Linked DNA regions of Astyanax mexicanus. Each later gene encodes a partner of the first gene's protein in a complex. Links are inferred from orthologs where the notes say so. Each region holds a gene or a part of one and is shown in the gene's direction. Other genes may lie near its edges.

What was found. The genes of interacting proteins can lie anywhere in the genome.
Region 2: the proteins of fgfr1a (region 1) and plcg2 are in contact, whole or in part, in a cryo-EM structure (PDB 8JQI), measured with the Homo sapiens proteins. The link is inferred for Astyanax mexicanus from reciprocal best matches to the Homo sapiens genes FGFR1 and PLCG2. Residues at the interface, in NP_075598.2 of Homo sapiens: Lys504, Asn506, His541, Lys542, Lys598, Ser602, Tyr605, Gln606, Arg609, Glu612, Tyr613, Ser616, Lys617, Lys748, Asp755, Arg756, Val758, Ser762, Gln764, Glu765, Tyr766, Leu767, Asp768, Leu769; in NP_001412678.1 of Homo sapiens: Phe528, Arg540, Thr568, Phe569, Pro570, Asn571, Phe577, His585, Cys586, Arg587, Arg589, Ser590, Thr591, Met592, Gly595, Leu601, Thr602, Asn604, Leu622, Arg623, Cys624, Ala625, Glu626, Phe627, Glu738.

Annotation. Positions count from the first base shown.
Region 1 is NC_064419.1:25,847,681-25,858,545, forward strand, and holds the start of fgfr1a (fibroblast growth factor receptor 1-A), read left to right. Parts: upstream 1-6,598; 5' UTR 6,599-7,362; intron 7,363-10,865. UniProt on the Homo sapiens protein: Tyrosine-protein kinase that acts as a cell-surface receptor for fibroblast growth factors and plays an essential role in the regulation of embryonic development, cell proliferation, differentiation and migration.
Region 2 is NC_064416.1:17,441,651-17,451,557, reverse strand, and holds the start of plcg2 (1-phosphatidylinositol 4,5-bisphosphate phosphodiesterase gamma-2), read left to right. Parts: upstream 1-5,441; 5' UTR 5,442-5,526; intron 5,527-5,546; exon of another isoform or gene 5,547-5,962; 5' UTR 5,963-6,006; intron 6,007-8,827; 5' UTR 8,828-8,919; intron 8,920-9,907. Other genes in the region: MTOR-associated protein MEAK7, read left to right, coding at 27-171, 1,841-2,239, 2,338-2,456, 2,728-2,916, 3,459-3,626. UniProt on the Homo sapiens protein: The production of the second messenger molecules diacylglycerol (DAG) and inositol 1,4,5-trisphosphate (IP3) is mediated by activated phosphatidylinositol-specific phospholipase C enzymes. It is a crucial enzyme in transmembrane signaling.

The DNA of each region.
Region 1 (10,865 bases):
TATGCCATTTGCGCCATGGGAGACATATTTTTTGCGCTCTCACAATTCCAAAGACATACTGACACGCCCTAAATCATGCTGCATTATGCACAATTGACCGGTGCACTATAGATTGCTAAATTAGGGCCCTTTGTCTTTGATTTGGTTTGGATGTGTATCCACCAGTTTCATATAGATTGTATAAATGTGCAAGGACCATATGTATTTTATTTTAGTATTCTAGTAACTCTAGTAAACTGTAGTAAAATGTTTAGGCTGTATCAGATAAAGAAATATGTTCAGTGTAAGGACTGGCAGTTCTTGACAGCAGTGTTTCAGTCATTCCCCATTTGTATTTCCACACTTATGGAATTACAGGTATGGAACATTATAGTAGGTACACACAGCATGCAGCAGCCATGTAAGTGAGCAAGCAAAGAGGATCAATACAAACAGCATTAGCTACATGCTACCCAACCTAAAAAAGCCTCAATACCCTTCCAAAAAGCTCTGTGACCAGAGACAGTGTAAAACACAAGTAAGTACTGGCAATGCATTTGACACATGAAGACAACTTAGAGGCCAGAAGGACTACAAGACAAAAGCTAAGCTGGCTAATTTCTTCATAAATGTAAGGAAACTAGCTTTAGTTAAGGTTAGCTAAAGGATTTATTGGTTATCTGTTAAATTTAACAGTATGATATTGGGATCTGTAAGTCCAAACCAGAGTGTGTATTTTTCAGAGCAGTGTTTATTTTTTTGTTGTTTTTTGTTTGTTTGGGGAACAGACTTAGCTTTTGCTAGTAAGTAATTTCCTTTAAGAGATAATCTGTAGTCGTGAATTAGTGACAGGCAGCACACGGCTCGGCAACAGAGCGACAAATCGAGTTGAGATTTCTATTGTACCTTCATACGAATTAATAATCACACTGTGGAGTGGCATTCTACAACAACTGACCCAACTTCTTCTAACAATTCTTCTAACAAATCACATACACAGGGGTTCAATGCTCCAGCCTCTACTCTCTGAAGTGTTGGTTCCTACAGCATTTCTTTCCTGTAATCTGCAGTGTGGTTCTGAACATGGAAAAGAGTTTCATATATAGCTGCTGTTTTTTCTTTTCCTGCTTTTATAATGTGTGTTCACACAAATACAGGGACAATTTAAATAAAAATTATGCATGGAAGAAAGTAGCGGGTGGCTCAATAAGTAGCTTGCTAGATTAGCCAGCATTCTAGCTGGCTTTGCCGATTAACACACCCGCATGCGGCAAAAGGAACTTGATTTTTTGAAAAGTCCACATGAGCTGGTGCAAACAATGAAAACAGTGCAAACATATACCTGCTTGCCATTGTAAAAGTTCTTTAACTCATATGTTCCTTTTATGTTTGACATATAGCAGTTTAACCCATTTTGTCTCTTGTAAAAGTTTAGGGGTAAGTTCAGTGTAAAATGGAAATTCTAACTCACTCCATATCATGCTGCGTTTCAGTGTGAGTTTTGGAGTTTCTCTAAAGTCAGAGATATACTTGCAGTTTGACAGTTTGTGCGTTTGCGTAGATAACTGGTTGCAACGTCAACATAAGTGTTGGCATATTTTTCTATGTGCTACTTGTGTTACTGGAAGCTTCCACTATAAAATCTTGGTTACGCTACACAACTTTTAAAGGTGGAGCAGATTTTAAACAGATTACACTACTATCACACTACACAACTGTTGTTAATCTTTTATAGAATCTGGTCAATATGATGGAATGCAAAATTAGAATATTTTTATAAAGGCTGTAATTACTTTTTAAGGTCTGTTTTCATTGGCTGCTGATAGAGTCTGTTTAGACTTAAGTTCACACTACCTAGTCCCACCCAAAATCAAAATGCTTGAGTTCTTGCGACTGATGTGTGTGCGGATGTGATTTTGAGGCTAAAAATTGAGTCTCGTCTCCTCATACACTACACTTTCACGACTAGCTTTGACTGAACCAGAGTCTGAAGACCAGAGCCAACTAGCACTGACTCACCACAGCTGGAAATCTGGGTTAAAATTGGGATTAAAGTTAAAGATAAAAGTAGTAACTTCAGTTTAAAGCAGACTGGAGATAAGTGACCAGGTTTCCACATCGAATAATAATACTGATTGCTCACAAACTACAAGATTAATCACATTTTTCCTTCTGAAAACTTTAACAATGGATATTTAAACGTGTAAAAAAAGAATCATTGTAAGATAATCACAGTGAGGTTTTGTTGAAATATGTTTGTTTAATTTAATCTTTCCAACATTGAGTGTTAAGTATATTTCATTGACATTGGCTTGTTCTAACTCTTCCAAATAAAATAATTTTTTTTATATATCTTTTTTCAACTCTGAATCTAATAACACACTTATTTAACTATTCAAAACATGTATGGGTCAAACTCAGGCAGCTTTACTTAATTTTTACAAGGTTTCTAATCCGAAAATGGTTACAAACTCATGTGACATTTAAAAAGCATGTTTAAATGCAAGTCCACTTATTCCTTTGATTTTCTCTCAAGAAAGTGTTTATTTTAAAGAAATGGTTTACTTCATGTTCAAATAATTGATATTTATGACAAAAAAAATACTCCTGTTAAAGGAACTCATTCCTGTTACTGGAACTCACTCATGTTATTGCTACATCTCTGAAGGGGTTTTTACATTGTTAAATACAACCCGCGAAAACAACAACAACAAAAATTGTATATGTCCCCAGGCTTTGGAAAAATAATTACATTAAGACATTGGGAACAAAATGAATACAATTATTATTTTGTATTGTAAAATATGTAACAACAATCTTGTGTGTTAGCTTCTTTTTAAAAAGAAATATTTTATTTTTACTGCAAGTCAGTGTAAAATTATACTGAACAACAAGATTCACATTATGTAAAAAGTGAAACAAAAAGAGAACATTTTTGCTTAACAAAAAAGCTAGTTCAAACCCGAATGATCATGCCACCAGTTCTTATATTTTTATTATTAAAAGAATAACAATAAAGAGACTATTATTTTAGCTAAGTAATCAAATTAGTTGCTTGTTAAAGTGCTTGTAATTATCTGCTGTTATCAAGATTGTATGTATTTAATAGCACTCATTGTTTCAGCTAGCAAAGTCTGCTATTTCTGTACAAGTTCACAACAAGTTTAATTGCTCTGAATAAATAAACGTGGCTTTTTATCCCGGAAATCAGAATGCTGCTAACTTGACTTTGGGGAAAAGCCCTGTTAGTCACGGCCCAGTAGTAGTTTAGCAGACTGCACGTCTGGACACACCCAAATCCTCCCCAAGGTATTCCTCTGGAAGATCAAAAGTGAGGAAGAAGTGTTTAGTGTGGAAATATGCCTGTGGTTTCCTCAATTACTGGATAAAATTCCATGTCCATTAAAAATGGAAAAGATTCAAAGTTTAGTATTTTTTAAAAGTTGATACATATATAAAGTAAAAAGTACTTGATTTTAGGATATTCTAATAATTTTAACGTCTTATATATGGAATGATGGGCTTCAGAAAAATGGGGACCAGCTTACATTTCATCCAGCATTTGTAAAGCACAAAAGCAATGCCCTACATCCACCTATAGGCACAAACAGACATTAACTAGTAAGTTAAGAAACCTAAGTGGAACCCGGAAAAAATACACGAGTAGACGGCTGCAGACTACCACTGTTTGCATTGATAGGGTTGATGAAAACATGTTTGAAATGACTTATATCCTTGAAGGAGTTTATAAGCTATGTTACCTCACATATTTGGTTATTCAGTTGTAGTGGTAGTTACAGTAGTCAAATTTACAACTTTAATAACTTTTAATAATAATACTTTGATTAGTATTTACAATTAATGCTGTCCCCATCAAATTTCTAACAATGGGAAAAGACTGTAAATCTCATTACTGTATATACAGCTCTGGAAAAAAATAGACCACTTACAAATGATGAGTCCTTTGATTTTACCAAATTGGAAACCTCTGGAATATCAAGAGGAAGACGGATGATCAGCAGCCATCAAACCAAGGTGAACTTGGCTGCCTGCCAGGAATGGCATTAAGTTATCCAAAAGCAGTATGTAAGACTGGTGGAGAAGAACTGTGATTCTGGAGGGAACTTGTGATTAAAAACCAGGGTTATTACACCAAATATTGATTTCTGAACTCTTAAAACTTTTTGAATATGAACTTGTTTTCTTTTGCATTATTTGAGGTCCGAAAGCTCTGCATTATTCTGCAAATAAATGCTCTAAAAGACAATATTTTTTATTTGGAATTTGGGAGAAATTTCATAGTGTATAAAATAAAACAACAATGTTCATTTTACTCAAACATATACCTTTAAATAGCAAAATTAGAGAAACTGATTCAGAAACTGAAGTGCTCTCTTAATTTTTTTTCAGAACTGTATGTGCCCAATCATGTCTCTGTCTCTGAACCTACTACAAAATCTTCCAGCTCCCCGGTTGTTTGGCACAGAAACATATATGGGGTTCAGAACAAGTTTTGAATTATGTACTCTATAAAAATGCAAATGAACTTTTTCTGCACAGTTTAACAAGATCAGATATTTGAGTAAAGTTAAAATGTTAAAAATGTGTCTCTTTGTATTGTTTTACTAGATTTTTGTTTGTTGAATTGGACATTATAATTACAATTACATTTCAATACATTATTTAAACAAAAGAAAATGTTTTATGTATATACAGAGATGAGATTGGAGATTGGAGATTGGATAGTCCAGGTCCAGGGTTCTATTTGTAACATTAGTCTAGCATTCCCCACTCTAAGCTAAGGTAGCGTGTTACTACATGTATAGCACCTGGAATAAATGATAAATCGTATTAATTAGCTTATAAGCGAAACTATTCCTATATTGATAAGAATAAGAAACGTGTCAGTATTATTCCAACTTAGCTCAGATGTATGTTCATAAATCCAGTCTTTTTTGTGTCCATGTTTAGCTTGGTTAGCATATAGAACCAGTGCTAGGCTATTACTATACAATATACAAGTCAACAAGTCTGGGCAACATTAATGAAAATGTGGACATGGTTTGAGTGGTTTGAGTGGCTTTAGAGACGTGCGTGGACATGATTTTAATAGAAAGATTTGGTAACTACTTACTTGCAGTGTTTGTTAGCCAATCATCATTAGCCTGATTGACTAGCCTACATTTTGCACCAAAGCAGAACATAACACTTCACTTCTTTGTCATGTTAACACTTAATTTGCATTTTTATAGAAGTAACTTTACAGGAGTAAAAACTCATTCATTTTAATAAAAGTCAGCATATAAAATCCAGTTATTTTGGACCATTTTTACAATCGTATCATATTGAAATTTAGTCAAAATGTAACAAATATATTTAACATAAAAATATAAGGTAATGAATAAAATTGAAATATAACTTTACTTCATTCAGGTGCTTGTCTAAAGAGCCAGCCACTAAGCATATTGATTTGTAAAGTACCCCAAAGCAATGACATCACACAAAAAAAACACAACAGAAAATGAATATTTTACATTGTTATATTACTCAGCTAATCATTTCAGAAAGGTAAAGGGTTCATGTGTATTATCTTGAACTTTCGTTATGCTAATCATACACTAGACAACTTTGAAAAGACTCTGAAAAGACTTTTGATAGACCGAAGTCTTAAACCTTCTCACATATAAAGACAAGTCACAGACCTTTTAGTCACAGACTAGTCAGAGACTAAGATTTTGCAAAGATTGGGGATCTTGCAGGGTCACTATTTGCAAGACAGGAAGTAGATTTTTTTTTTTATTATTATTATAATTCAGCAAGTTCTTTCCACGTTTTCTTCTTTCTCCACTGTTGTGGTATAAATAGGAAGACACGTCAGAAAGAGACACTCCACATCACTATTTGCATGAACCAAATCTCGAGACTCAAGACTATAATATTAAACACGGTTGATTTTATCTGAACGTTCAATCATAACCACCTTAAACTGAAGGATCAAGATAAGACACACGCAACTCGACTGTAGCAAGACGTTTTTATCCCGACACTGGAAATTTGTTTGCGACAGTGAAATCGCTTGAAAATCACAGCTTTTGAATTTCAGATAACAAAAATAAGATAATTCTTTTTTCAAGAAATGTATAGGTCTGAATGTTTAAATCTAAAAAGCTTAAGTTTTTTGTGAAGCAAGTTTTTTCAGCAGCAAATTTCACCACCTCAAAGTTCTAAATAAATTAGAATATACAAAGATGCGAGGCGAGTTTGTTGTTTGGTGTCGCTTTTTAAAGGAACCTCAAACTCGAACAGACCCGAACAGCAGGCGATAACTTACACAGACAGCACTGAAGGAGGAGGAGGTTTTTATGTAGGATAAACATAAAAGTACATTTCTAGTCTATACATATAAGACATAAAAATAAACAATTAAGAGCTATTTTAGAAGGGCTAATCAGGTTTATTTATCCTTCTTGGGAAAAGAACTACACTCCCACAATGCAACAGAACCAATGGAGAGTCCTGAGGTGTTGTGAATGGCAGAGGGGGGAGCCAGGTTTCAAACCCAGTGATGTAAGCGAGTGTGTGTTGAGTGTGAGTGTGAGTGTGTGTGTGTGTGTGTGTGTGTGTTTGTGTGAGTGAGTGAGTGCGCGCGCGCGCGCTCCATCGTAGGTAGTGAAGCAGCTCCACGCATGACTCCGGAATCTGGTCTTCTCTGTATCCTCTGGTGTGGGAGGCCGAGAGAGCGCGAGCGAGTGAGGGATGCAGAGGATCACGGTAATATCAGCCCGACCAGACCTACAAACTCAGTCTGCGGGGATCAGGCTCGTTTAGGACGGTCTGTAGTTCGAGTCTAGGCGTTTTAGTCGGAGGATTACTGAGCGGAGAAGCGGTAAAAGTTTTTTTTCCTCCCCCCTTCCACTTTTCCTTCGACCAGACCTCCGTCCTAAACAAAAAGAACCCGGGTGGAAATTTTCTTCGCCAGAAAGGCACCGACTCTGCCGGACATTTACGTAAGATTTGTATCTTACCTTTTATATAAAAAAAAAAAAGTCTTACGTGTTTTTGGATTGACGGTAAGATCGTTTTGGAGTGGTTTGCGGTGATCGTGGAAAAGGAGAGCACTTGCAGCCGAGACGCGAGGCGAGTTTGTGTGTGTTGGTGTCGTTTTTAAAGCGCAGGAACCCCAAACTTAAACAGCAAGCGATAACTTACACAGACAGCGCTGGAGGAGAAAGAGGAGATTTTTGTGTAACGTTAGGATCGACTAAAGAAGAAGAAGAATATCAAAAAGAACTTTCTTTATTAACAGCCCGAAAAAGTTTTTTAAATCTCGGAACGAACTTTTTTCCTCTCCGCGTTGAATACAACCCTCACTGGAGCTAAAAGGTGAGTAACATACCACCTAAGTTCACCTAAGATACATTTTCACTGTTTAAATCTGAGTTTGGCTGTTTTTCTAGCTTGTTTTGTTGATGTTTACAGTACTGAAACATGGCATGCCGTGCAAATAACACATCTGGTTGTAGTTACTCAACTAACCTAAATTAGATTAACTAGATGAACGATTTTTTTTTATTCTCACTTCAGCATTTTAGTAGCTTAACTTAGTTAGCTAATGCTTCAAGTGTTCTATCTATCTATCTATCTATCTATCTATCTATCTATCTATCTATCTATCTATCTATCTATCTATCTGCATTGATATGTTCATAATGTGCATTATCTTCCTAGACTATGCAAAGTTAGAATCTTTTAAATATTCTTTTAGTTCATTTACAAAAACGAACCCTTGGTTGCACCTTTTAAGTTAGACTTACCAGGTTAATAATAGTTTGTATCTCACTTCACCATTTTAATATCTTAAATAGGCTAATGCTGCAAGTGCTGTATTGTGGCTAGGTTAGTGTTTTATGTTAAGCACTGGATAGGACTATAATCTAGCTAGCTAGGTAAACGAATATTTTTAAACATTACCTAAATTAGCAAGCTAGTAGCTAGGCTATCCATTTTCTCAATGAGTAGCATCTGTATTTAATGAGTGAACAGGGAGAAAGGTGGCTTTATTTTATTTTTGTATAACCTGCTTGACCTATGTAACTTAGTTAACATCCAGTGCTGCAGATTCTGTCAACTAACTAACTTAGTTAGCTAAAATGTGAGTAACCTAGTTAGCTTTACCAAAGTCCACCTAAGAGAGTTTTTCACGATTTAAATCTGTGTATGGTTGTTTTTCTATCTTTTTTTTGCTTATGTTTACAGTGTTGAAACATGGCATGATGTGCAAATAACAACAAACCGGGGTGTAACGTTAACTTAGTAGGAACTAGTAGGACTATTAGGGTTAGCTAACTAGCTAATCTCTTTTTAGCTAAATATCACGTTAGTTAGCTAGCTAACTAGTTGCTAGTTTACGCTGTTCTTAATGACTAGCATCTGTGTTCAATACGTGAGCAGAGAGAAAGGTTGCCACAAAACAATACTATTAAAATACTAAGAATAGTGAGAAAATACTAAGCCTAAAACTGTTGAAAAGTCAGCGTGTTGCAGGAACAAATGGCTGAAGGCGTTTGGTTAACTAGTTGAGAGAGTTGACGGCGCGCAGCTGGAGCGCAGCACAGTTCAATAGCTGGATAATTCTGCGAATCGGTTCTTTTTTGCGAGTCGTTCACACGAATCGGCTCAGATTTCCTTTTACTTACACGTTTAGGTTTTTAAACATGACACATTATGCAATCAAATAAAGATTAAAAGTTGTTCATTCATGCATTTGCAGCATAAAACGCTTGATTGCACAGAATCAAGTGACTCAGAGTTACTTTCTGAATCATTCTTGGTGACTCAGACGAGTCACTCGTCAAATGGCGCTGCTAATGACACTACATGCGATGCGACTAAGGGATACTATCGAGTTCGAGTTACTAATATTTAATGGAAAAGAAGCAAAAACGAAGAAACTCAGATGTGAATCAGCAAATTGTTTAATTAGTCACTCAAATTATTCAAACGGAGCGGTTTGGATGAGTCGGATCGGTAAACAGACTCGATAGCTAGGTTAAGATAAACTTCTCATCATTAACGTTAGTTCACTAGCTACCATTTGGCACGTTGTTGAGCTTTAGCTAGGTTAGCTGTGCTGTTTTAAAAGGGTTGAATCTAGTGTTTTGTGTCTGAAAAGGGTTTTAGACATCCAGCGCTGTAGATAGTGTAGAGAATATTAAGGTTGAAGATGTTTAACCGTTTTAAGTGTGCACTTTTAAGTGTGCATTTTGCTGTTTGTTAGGAATGTGCAATAGTATACTAATCAGATTGGTAATGTTAGCATAAAGGTAATCAATGAATAGTCTTAGGCTTAGATTTCACTGACATCTGTTTATATTTTAATTTATTTTAACCTGTTATGCTTGGTTAATTTAATAAATGTCTGCATTGTGACTGTCATGCGTGGTACTGTGTTTAAAACGCTACATAAATAAATGAGTTACAGAGATTATGCATATGTTTTAAAAATGTTTAGCTATAAATGTGTCTAAATCAGGCCAAAGTTTCCATATCTATGTGCTTCCAGAAGTCTTGAGTGTAAGCCTTAAGTGTAGCCTTAGCCTTGTTCCTTCATAAACCTTTAACATCTGCTAACAAAACACACAAATATTGTACAGTCAGACTATACCATATTAAAGATATTTTTCTTTTTGTTTTATTCCATTTGCATAGTTCAGGCGAAAAAAAAACAAATCTGCTGGGCTTCTGAACACTAGGCAAAAGTAATTTGTTTTTATCTGTATGTCTATGTTATTTCTTTTTAATCTGTTATTTAGGCCTTTTGGATTTGAAAATCCAGGCTTGTTCTAGGGTGGTCACTGGATAAACAGCAACATTTTACGGGAACGCAGTTTTGAATACCACAGTTGAATGATAATATGGGAGTGTATACTCTGGGGAGACACTGGGGCTGGTGTGTGTTTAGTGGGAGTGCATGGGTTATTTACTTTTCCTTCTTTCCTTCTTCTCAAGCTAAAGGAAAATCATCTTTTTGCAAACTGTTTGCCTTTTCCACCCAGACAGAAGTCACAGTTTTAGCATTTACATGGCAGAGAAAAAGTGAATAGACTAAGTTAACTCCCTAAACTTTGCTTTAGTCGACTAAACCTTACTTTCTCTATAAGAGCAGCATTGATTTGTTCATAATTTGCATTATCTTCCTAAAATGTGAACTCAGATTTTTGGCAAAAGAATCATCTTTCTTGTGTTTTTACTTCTCTTGAAAGGCAAGTTTCCACCTGAGCTCTTGAACATGCTTAAAAACAATGCTTCTAGCTGCAAAGGGTTCTTGCATTAGAATAACTTTTTTTTTTTGCATGAGGAATCAAAGAGAAAGTATATTTATATATTCTTTTACTTCTTATGGAAACAAATGTGGTTCTACTATGGCATGAAGGACCCTTGGTTGCACCTTTATTTTTAAGAGTGTCCTTATGAATTTCACAGCATTCAGTGAGAATGCATTTCCAAGCATTTCTGTGTGCCTTCTATTAAAGCTTCTCTCCATTCCTGAAACACACTTGCTTGCTCTCATTCACGTATGCCCCCTCCCCCCAGTTCCCAGATCTAATTCCGCTTCCCCAAAAACTCTCCCTGCCGATAAGTGGCCATTGTAATTCAAAGTAAAAGCGTTCATGGTCAATTTCCACCTTGTGGCTGGTATTGTGGATGTGTCTGGAAAGCAGAGCAGGGCAGTTTGAATAGTGGAAGGCAGGCTTGCTGCAGCATGCACAGACTTGACCTGAAATCTGATGCAAAACAGCACTGAATGTTGAGAGAGTATGTACCATATATGCATAGGTGTTGCCATTAAAAATATGCATAATTTGTGGAAGTAATTATGGAAATAA
Region 2 (9,907 bases), on another chromosome or scaffold:
AATTAACACTAACACTTTTTTTGCAGTTCTTGGAGGACTTGATTTCGGCTGTAGTTCAGACTCTCACGCACAGGGGGCGACTCCGAGGCTGGAGACCAGACCGCATGGGTAATGGATCTCAGGGGGTGAAGCTTTTGGCTGAGCACCTGAGCTCTGACATAAAACCCTCAGGTTAGTGATTTCACTTTGATTTGATTCTTTATGATTAATTTTAAAATACTACAATGATCACCCACACCTAGTGACTAATCCAGTGTAATAAAACTGCTCACACTATGATGGTTAATGTAGATTGTTTTCTTCTAAGTATGGTCATAGCAAACTGCAGAGGTACCTGACTTTTAAGAATTTAAGTGAGAGATTTTTATCTAAAACCAAAACAGAACAAAAGACAGTTAGGCCAAAGGCAGTTTTGCCGGTTTTGTTACATTTTGCCATTTTTTTCATCAATTCATATACTTGAATCCTTCAAAGCATTGAATCCTTTAATCTTTGAACTAAACTGGATAAATGTCATTTCATCTACCTTTTCAAAGAAAAGCAAAGACACAACAAACAGACATTCCAACAAAGCATAACATGACCTAAAACAAAAATTAAAGAGTGTTTTAATTTAAGTAATAAATGTTGTAACGTGTTGTAACTCTTTGCAGATGTACTCCCCTTTGACAAATAATCAGATATTAATATTTATTTATTAAACTGAAATTATTTCTGCGTTTACAAAAAAGCAGCTCACTCTAATCTGGTTGTGATTTATTTGAGCTATGAATATCATTATTGTTTTTTATAGTTTCACTAATTTCATTCAGCAGAAACCTAAAATTGTTTTTATGTGATGTCCGGCTAAATAATTACAGTTGACAAATATTGGACTGAGGTCCAGAGAAGTGTCTGTTTAGTGGTTCTCCTAGTTGACATCTACATAAAGTTTATAATTTAGTCTTTTAATAATTAACTTTCTAACAAGTAATTATACTGTGCCAACATTAAAACTTCAAAACTTCAAATTGCTCATACACTTATTCATGTGTCATAAACTCATGTTAAGCAGCTGTTCTGGATATGTTTGAAGGAATCGACCCCTCCTTTTTTTTGCACCACAAACATTACCCAATATGCCATCAAGACGTGTAAGATGTCATACTGCTCCTTAAATGATTGAGTGGGTTGGGAAATGTGAACGTCACAAGGAAACACAATGATCAGATTTAAATACCGGTGATGACTGGTGGTACTGTGTTGGGAAATGTGTGGAGAAAAATGACCCAACCGCTATAGGAGGTGTGTGGGCAGCAGAATTAATAGAATGTATGGGAAACTACATTTGTAGGTCATTTATGATGTAAAAAAAAAGAAATTCTCATAAAAATATGACAAAGCAATGTGAGGTAGCTTTTAAGGCCAGAAGAGGAGCTACGAAGTGCAGACAGACACTCTTAGTGTGTTTATATTTAGTAGTTTGGTTCATTCTGTCATGAGCATTGTGATGCATTTTATTCCTGGTTTGCTTTGCGCTCTTCAGCTTGTGTGATGTAGGATGTATGTGTGACAGAAGGCTGTTAGAAGGGGTTTGTCTTTTTGCTAGGAAAACATCTTTACTGAGACAATGGAACTTTTAAATGCAGTTTTAGTGGTGATTAGTATTAATACACTGTGTGATAGTGTCTGATTTGGAACATTCCTGCTAAATTGAAGGTTTAGGCAGGAAGTAGTTAAAGCACAGTTTGTAAGTAATACTTTGATCATGTGCCTATTCAAAACTCTAGTTTGTTTGAATCAAAACACTTGAAAACACATTTTACAGTCTCTGACTGAACCCCCTCTTTTTGCCCTATAGATCAGAATACGTGTGATGTCGCTTGTGTAGAGGACTGGCTTTTCCGAGTCTCAGGAGTCGCTGTATTTCTGGAGCTCCTGATTGGTGAGGGTCTTGAGGTTGGGTTGACTTCGTGTACACCGCCTCTTCTGCTGCCGCAGTGTCGAGATGCTCCCTGGAGTGCGCTCCGGTGTTTGCTAGATCTACCTCTTCTCATGTTCTTGAGCCCTCAGATGCCTGAAGGACACAAAGCTCCCTGGAGGTTGCTGTTCTCAACAAACGTACATGGGGAAAGCTTTACCCGCCTGGTTGGAAACTGCAAAAGTCAAGGCCCCACTGTTATTCTGGTGAAAGACACCAAGGGCCACATATTCGGAGGCTTTGCTTCTCACAGCTGGGAGATTAAACCCCAGTTTCAGGGTAAGTGATGAGGAGGAAACAGAAGAAATTAAAACATGTTTTTTTTGCATATTCGCCTTTTTATTGTGCCAGGTCTGATGCTTATCACTTCTGACCAGGTGATTCCAGGTGCTTCCTGTTCTCTGTGTTCCCATCCATGCGAGTTTTCACATGCACAGGGTATAACCAGCACTACATGTACATGAACCTGGGCCAGCACACCATGCCCAATGGCCTGGTGAGACAATACATCCTTGTAGATTCTATAACAATGAATCATTCTTGTTGTATTAAGTAACAACAATATTAATTATGATAACACTGATAATGAACATTGTACTGCAACTATCTATTAATTATACAATCATACAATTTTCTGTGTCTTTTGCATTTTTTGTTACTTTTTATTACTAGGTTCAAGTACTAGATAGATCTGTTGAAGTTGATGGATGGTAGGATGATAGATGGTCTTCTCTGAACTATACCCTTTCCTCATTGTCTTGTCTCAGGGTATGGGTGGACAGCACGGGTACTTCGGACTGTGGCTGGACTATGACTTTGGGAAAGGTCACAGTCGGGCTCGACCAAGCTGTACCACATACGGTAGCCCTCAGCTCTCAGGGGATGAGGACTTTACAATGGATACAGTCGAAGTTTGGGGGGTCGGCATACCCCCTTCAGAACAGGAACAGGACGAGGTCAGCAACAGATCTGTAGTGACACACTCATTCAGAATTATTGGATTTCTTCATTAGTGTCTGTTAATTGGTAATTTCAGATGCAAATGAACTAAATGTTTGTGGATACTTTTTTTCTCTCAGTTCACCCATTCTGGATACAGATATGCAAATGCAGACACACATACACAGCTTGAAGAATTGGCAATAGAATAGGACTCTCAGGGGCAAAAAAACAAGTAAAGACCCCCAGCATTGAGCTGTGGAGTAGTGGATTGAATTTGATTGCTCTTGTGGCTAAATACAACGAAATCCTCATAGCAGTGCTAGTAATCAAAAAATCTAGTAGAATGTTTTCCTTGGACAGTAGAAACAGTTACTCCAAAAAAAGCATGTCTTTTTAAAATGTATTTTTAATATATTTTATCATTTGAGGTTTTAGCTACTATAGCACTTTGTATGAATATAGAGGTTAATTTATCCACTTTGTGGCACTGATGTTTTACACTAAATGCAGAAAATTAAGAATTTATTATTTTGTTTGTTGGGATGTTGCTTTACAGGATGAGGGTAAGAAGAGCATTCTGGATGCGGATCCTGAGTTGCAGGCCATCATGGAGATGACTGGGAAAAAAATCTACAGCCAAGGCCTCAGAGAGCCAGAGGAAGACACAGGAAATGAAGTAGAGGTTGAAAAAATGAGAGGATTAAGGGATACATTTAACACATAAAAAAGACAACAAACTTTTTTATTGCAGAGCTGCTTTTAGATGGATGTTTTCTCATTTATTTTGCATAATTTAATCAAATGATTGGATCTCATGACGGTTACAGCAGCTAAGTTTCGCTATATATATATCCAAATATATGCAGATTGAAAAAAGTTATTTTGAATTAATAAAAAGAGGAGCTGGTTTCCTGCTATGTGAAGAATTCTAGAATCTGCTAAAGACATGTTATATGCTGACCTGTTCCTGATCAATAACGAGTATGTAAGACATTCAAATATACACTAATACAAATCAGTGCAAATCAGTGTTACAGTTTGTGTGTGATGAAGTGGTTTATTGGTTGATAAAAAAATAAAACTGTTAATTTATTTTTACTGCTTTACTTTTTGCGTTGGCTGCTTTTTGAAACTGATTAAAATTATGAACTGAAAGGATTGTGAATGATAATGCATTGCTGTTGCATACAAATTCACCTTTGAGATGAAGGCCATGTATAGTCAGACCCATTGATATTTGGTCAATAAAATAACGACCTTAATGATTTGTAATTAATTAACTTTTATAACCTCATTAGGAATTACTACAATTTTTCACAGTGCCTGCTATTATAGTTAAACTCTTTAAGAAACAGTATTTAGAGTCATAGCATTCTGCTCATTTTCGTTCAGATGCTAGTAGAACAACGCCACACAGAAGTGATCAAACCCATTGAATATCAGCTAAAAGTCAACACTGACACAAGTCAGTCAAGTGGAAGTCCATGGGCAGCCAGAGATTCATTCAACTGTTTAACAGAAGGATGTGCTTGTGGAACTGGAGGGACCACAAAAATAAATAAATGTAATGATTTTGGATGGGATTGGGTTAAATATTGATAATTTCTTGAATTACATCTGAACTTTTCATACAGTGCCAATCCTGCCGTTAAATCCACCTTAAAAGCTTATACTTACGATTTTGGATTTTCTTTTTGATTGAAAGAAAACAAACACCCTGGAGAAATGCCCCCCATCTATTCCAACAGAGAGCACTAATATTTGGATGAGAGTAAACTATCAAAAATTAAACTGCATTAGCTTTTCAAACAACATTTGATTTTATGTTAAGTTGGGGCTTATCAAAAACCAGACTTTCCCACTGGTAAATACGAGTTTGTCCCCTAATCTGGTAATGCAATATTTCTGACATTAATTGAAGGTAGCTGATGTCCATTGCCACGGCCACACATGTATCCACCACCATGTTTAACAGAAAGCTAACAGAAAATTGTCTGATTCACTAATTACTTTTGATTCTGTGAAAAATGGCTGAAATTACAAAATATAAATAAATTAAATAATTAGTCAGTTTATCAAATTGACCTGCCTGATTTTTTTGCTCACATTGTTTAAAAAGTTTACAGTATGTTAATGTTCATTGTTTTGTATTTGTGCCTACATGCTTTGAAATGTCACCTCCCACGTCTGTGCTGAACCTGACAAAGTTTCCAGACACATTTGGGCAGCATGGGGACCACAATGCTGTCTGCTTTTTGTTGTTCGTGCTTCTTTCTTGTCCTTATTCTCTCATCTACTTTCTTCTAGGTAGCAAATATTTCTAGTTCCAAAAAGTAAAACTCCACCCCAGGAGTTTGTTGCTTGAAAGGAAGGCTTGGTTGCACACTAGTGAGCAATCCATGCAGTTGTAACAAAGTCCTGGCGGCGGATTTTTACTTTCTGGACCTGGATTTGCCACTTTTGCACGTCTCGCTCTGTTCAGTTGGATGCAAATGATGGGGAAAATGACGTTAGATATGTAAAGCGTGAGTTTCCATACTGACTCGAAATTTACATTGTCACTTCACTTTCGGTGCGGTTTGCTGAGGCTGGGTCCTGTTCTGTGTGAGAACTTTGGATCAGAAGTAAGGGAGCTGGTCTTAAGGAGGCTTTTTCTAGGGGTTGTGGTCAGTTTTGGGCTGGAGCAGAGCGAGTAGAGGACCAGTAACAAGTGCTTTCATTTTCACATCTTCACACTGCTGACTCTCCCTGAGGCTTCAGAACTGTTCCTCCAGACTTTAGTGAGGGGTGTTAGAGACAGTGATGTGAGGAGGTGAAAGTGTGGTAGCCTCAGAGACCTAGCTGGCTGGCTTTCTTGAGGACTTTGCATTGATAGCATCTTCACTTCCGTGTCTTTTTATGAAGGCTATTCTTATAAGCTTCGCTTTACTTCCTTGTGTTCAGAGAATAGAGGAACTGACCACTTTGTAACTTTGTAGCTGGTCTCTTATCATTATCATCATCTACATTTAGCTCTTTTTCTCGGATTTTATGTATAAAATGTGAATATCTCTGCTGCAGAAGGACTGCTTTTGGATGTGAGCGTTTGTTTTCCTCTGAGGCGGGTAAGTTTGAACTGCTTGAGAGCTCAACATCAGCCTAAAAAAGTGTGTGAAAGGGAAAGATAGCCAGTTAGCATTTCTGAGTCTGTTGCCTTTAAATGTATGTAGTATGCAGGTCATAATAAAAATATAACTTAATGTGTAAAATGTTTTAATTGAAAACTGTGTACTGTGTTGCTGTGTAACAATGTAATTGGAATTAACACATTGTTACAAATATAGATGAATGTTAACCTTTACTTTAAACGTTTTTTTTTGTACATTTTATACCGTTTTTTTAATAATATAAGGGAGTTTTTATTTGCCATGTCCACAGTGCTCCCTGGTTAAGATGATTAATCCTTTATTATAGCCTATTATTTAAAAAAAAAAAAAGTTAGTTGAACGTTTTGTAAATTTTACAGTTAACGTTCTTCGAACGTTTAGTTTTTTGTATGTTCTTTACTTAACCTTTTTTAACGTTCTAGCAAAGTCACGTGTCAACATTTTAATTGTTAGTTTTAGGAATGTTACTTTTAACGTTTCTACTACGTTAATTTAATCTAGCTGGGAACGTTATGTGAGAAACATTCTAATAACCTTGTGAAGCAAACCATTACATATTAGGCTAACTCTTTTAAAACGTTGCTAAACATTCTTCTAACGTTCTCTTTATATATATATATATATATATATATATATATATATATATATATATATATATATATATATATATATATATATATACGTATATATATAATGGGGTGGGGGACATTTATGAAAATAGCCCTAGGGATTTGCAAATATTTACAGTCTTTGCAGGCGCTCTGTTTGTTGATCCAAGTATAGTTTGCATATACTTTTTAATTTCAATTTTAAAAAGCATACACAGCGGGGTGCTCTTTTTACCTTTATGAAAATAAAATTTAGCTAAAATTATAATTAGATTAATGATATAATATTAATCTATCTTATGTTTAACATTATCAACATAAATATCAATAACAAATATTATCAATAACAATAAGTTTTTTCAAAACATTTCAATAAACTCGCAATGTCAAAACATGTAATAGGGTTACTGGGTGTACATAACAAAAAAAAGCAACTTGAATCTGGTTTAATAATGGTTTGTTGGGTATCACCTATGTAGTATTTTAAATGTAACTTCCTTTACTTTATTAATCACTAGAAATTTAAAAGGTAAGATCCAAATCTTTTTCCATTCTAAGTCTCATATATATTGGTTCCAATAAAATGTAACATTAAGAACTGAGACACTGTCTCTCTGAAATAAAGCTCTAATTGATTTGTTATTATTTTTGAGTTTAGAGGAGAAGCACATCTTGCCAATAAGCTGGGCCTCTTTAAGAAAGGAACCTTTCATATCAGTGACATCACTGATATTTACACAACATTCACACTATTTTATTTTCAAAGGACTTAAGACCCAAATTCAGTGATTTAATTATATAAATTCCACTTCACTTTGTTTAGTTTCTATATACTTAGCTGCGGTAAAGTAAAATCTAAATAAATCTTGAAATGAAATAAGGTTAAAAAAAAAGAGAATTAAAAATATGCGCAGCAGTAGGTCATTTTTAGGTCAAGTTTTCATCAAATGTCAATTTTTACTAAAACTGTTGTGCAGCTTAACATAAACATGCACTCAAGGAATTAAGCCTGGGAAATATTCCTATGTAGCCTAAAGTTTTATAAATATGATAATAAATCATACATTTCGGCCCATGTATGTTTGGTAGGTCAGTGAATGAACAACAGGATGGGTTAGGGGATTTTTTTTTTGTTCTGGGTAGTAGTTTTTTTGGCTTGTTTTTTTAGGCAGTGGCAGCCAACTCTTTCCTGAGAAACCGTTATTTTGAGGCTTACTGTGAATGATGATGGATCCTGTTAAGCTGAACTGAGTGAATTGAGATAGAGATGCTTCTCTGTTCTATAAACATAATGGCATTTTTGTTAATACTGAGTGTTAAAAATGAGTTTTCCATTGTCCTTTTCAGTATTTAATAATTATTTTGATACTTTGAATTGTAACCCTGTATATTATATCGCCAAGTTCTTCCCAATACACAGCCCTAGCCAATACATTAAAAAACAATAAAACCAGTCAATCGGTGTACTTAAACAAAAAAGGCCCAAACAGTGTAGGAATCTGGCCCTCAGGTTCGGAATTGCCCAACCCCTGCTTTACACCATACTTACCATTTTTAGTACACTTTTCTTTAAACTCTTCTTTTTTCATGCTTAGTCCTTAGTTGCAGAAACATACATTATCCTCAATGTATCTTCAATTACAATGAGAAAATCCATTTTGTAGCTATCACATTGTATATTATGGAGTAATAACAGTGAGTAAAAACAGTGAATAAAGAGTGGGCCAACATATGTTCGCTAAAGTAATCAATTTAAAGGGGGTTAAACTAATATATAAAACATTTTCTCATGCAAATGTTTTTGCACCTAAATATTTGGCTGCTTATTTTTTAAGTGAAGTTCCCTACATAAAGCTTATCATCATTTCAGAGCACAATTAACAATAGATTTGTAATAAAACTTCCTGGAAAGAAGTCAAACATATTGTATGTTATGTGCCATTGCTTAATAAATCAACATAAATGAGTATTTTCTCTTTAAAGACATAAATCTATTTTTTTTTGTTGCTAACTTTTGCTGTGCTGTACTTTGTTTTTATCACACTGTTTTTGTATTCTCTCATATCATTGATTTGGTTGCATTGTTATATGTACAGTTTCAGTAAAGGTTCACACACTTATACTGGCTCTCTTTACTTCTCTCTCTCCTTCTCTTTCTCTCTTTTTCTCAGGCAGAGTGCAAAGTTTTCTACCAACACACCATTGAGTTGACTGGGTTAATGCTTTACTAAACCAGAAGGACTCTAATCTTCCAACTCTCTGGGTGAGTCCCTCCATGATTTGCTCCACTGTTTCATTTGCAATGCAAATACTAGCCACTGTAGGAACAGTGTGACCATGTGTTTTTGCGTGCCGCTGGTTAAGCATTAAGAAAAACAGTTAAGAAAGGTATACTGTTTCATTAAGTCCACATCAAAGACCGAAACTCAGATGCTTACTGTTGATATTCTTCACTAGAACAGTTTGGGCAGTTCTGTGTTTTAGACTATCAACAAACATTGGATTAAGTATCAAGTATTATCAGCAGGACCAGCAGGATCATGTTCATACATATGTTAGCACGTCTGCTTTTTTTTTTTGCTTGATGGGTGCCAATATGAAAATCTCATATGTGGTGGTATGTGCACATATATTTCAAAGTATATGGCCTATTTTTCAAGATACATCTACATATATTGTATACATGTATGCAAGTATCATATGTTGGATATCATATTTGAATCAGATATTTTTGATTGGTAGGTTAATACACGTAAATGTTTGACATATAGCTGAAATGTATGTCACATATATGTTGAATATATTTTAATATGTGACAAAAATCAGTTCCACATAATGAAATTCTTAATTCTAAATAATATTATGTATATGTACAGTATATGTCCAATGTTTGTGGACACACCCTGTCAAATGAAGGTATTCAACTACAGCGTACCCTGTAAAAAAGAATAGAACTCTAAACATGAACCCATATATTGACATCATGTCTAATGTCATGTGTAGGCAAGAGGCAAGTGCATTTAGCTGTGGTACAATGGAGCTGTGTTTCTGGAATGATGGTGCTCTATCCAATGTTATGCTATTTAATAGAAAGCCTGGTCAGTAGACAGAGTTACTCCAACAAAAGCAGAGTAAACTATTTCAGAACAATGAATAAGCAATATTTTTGTCCATATAGTCTAAGTCATATCTTTGTAATCTATAAATTGCCATACGACACTTTTCTGTATGGATTTGAATGTTAACATATG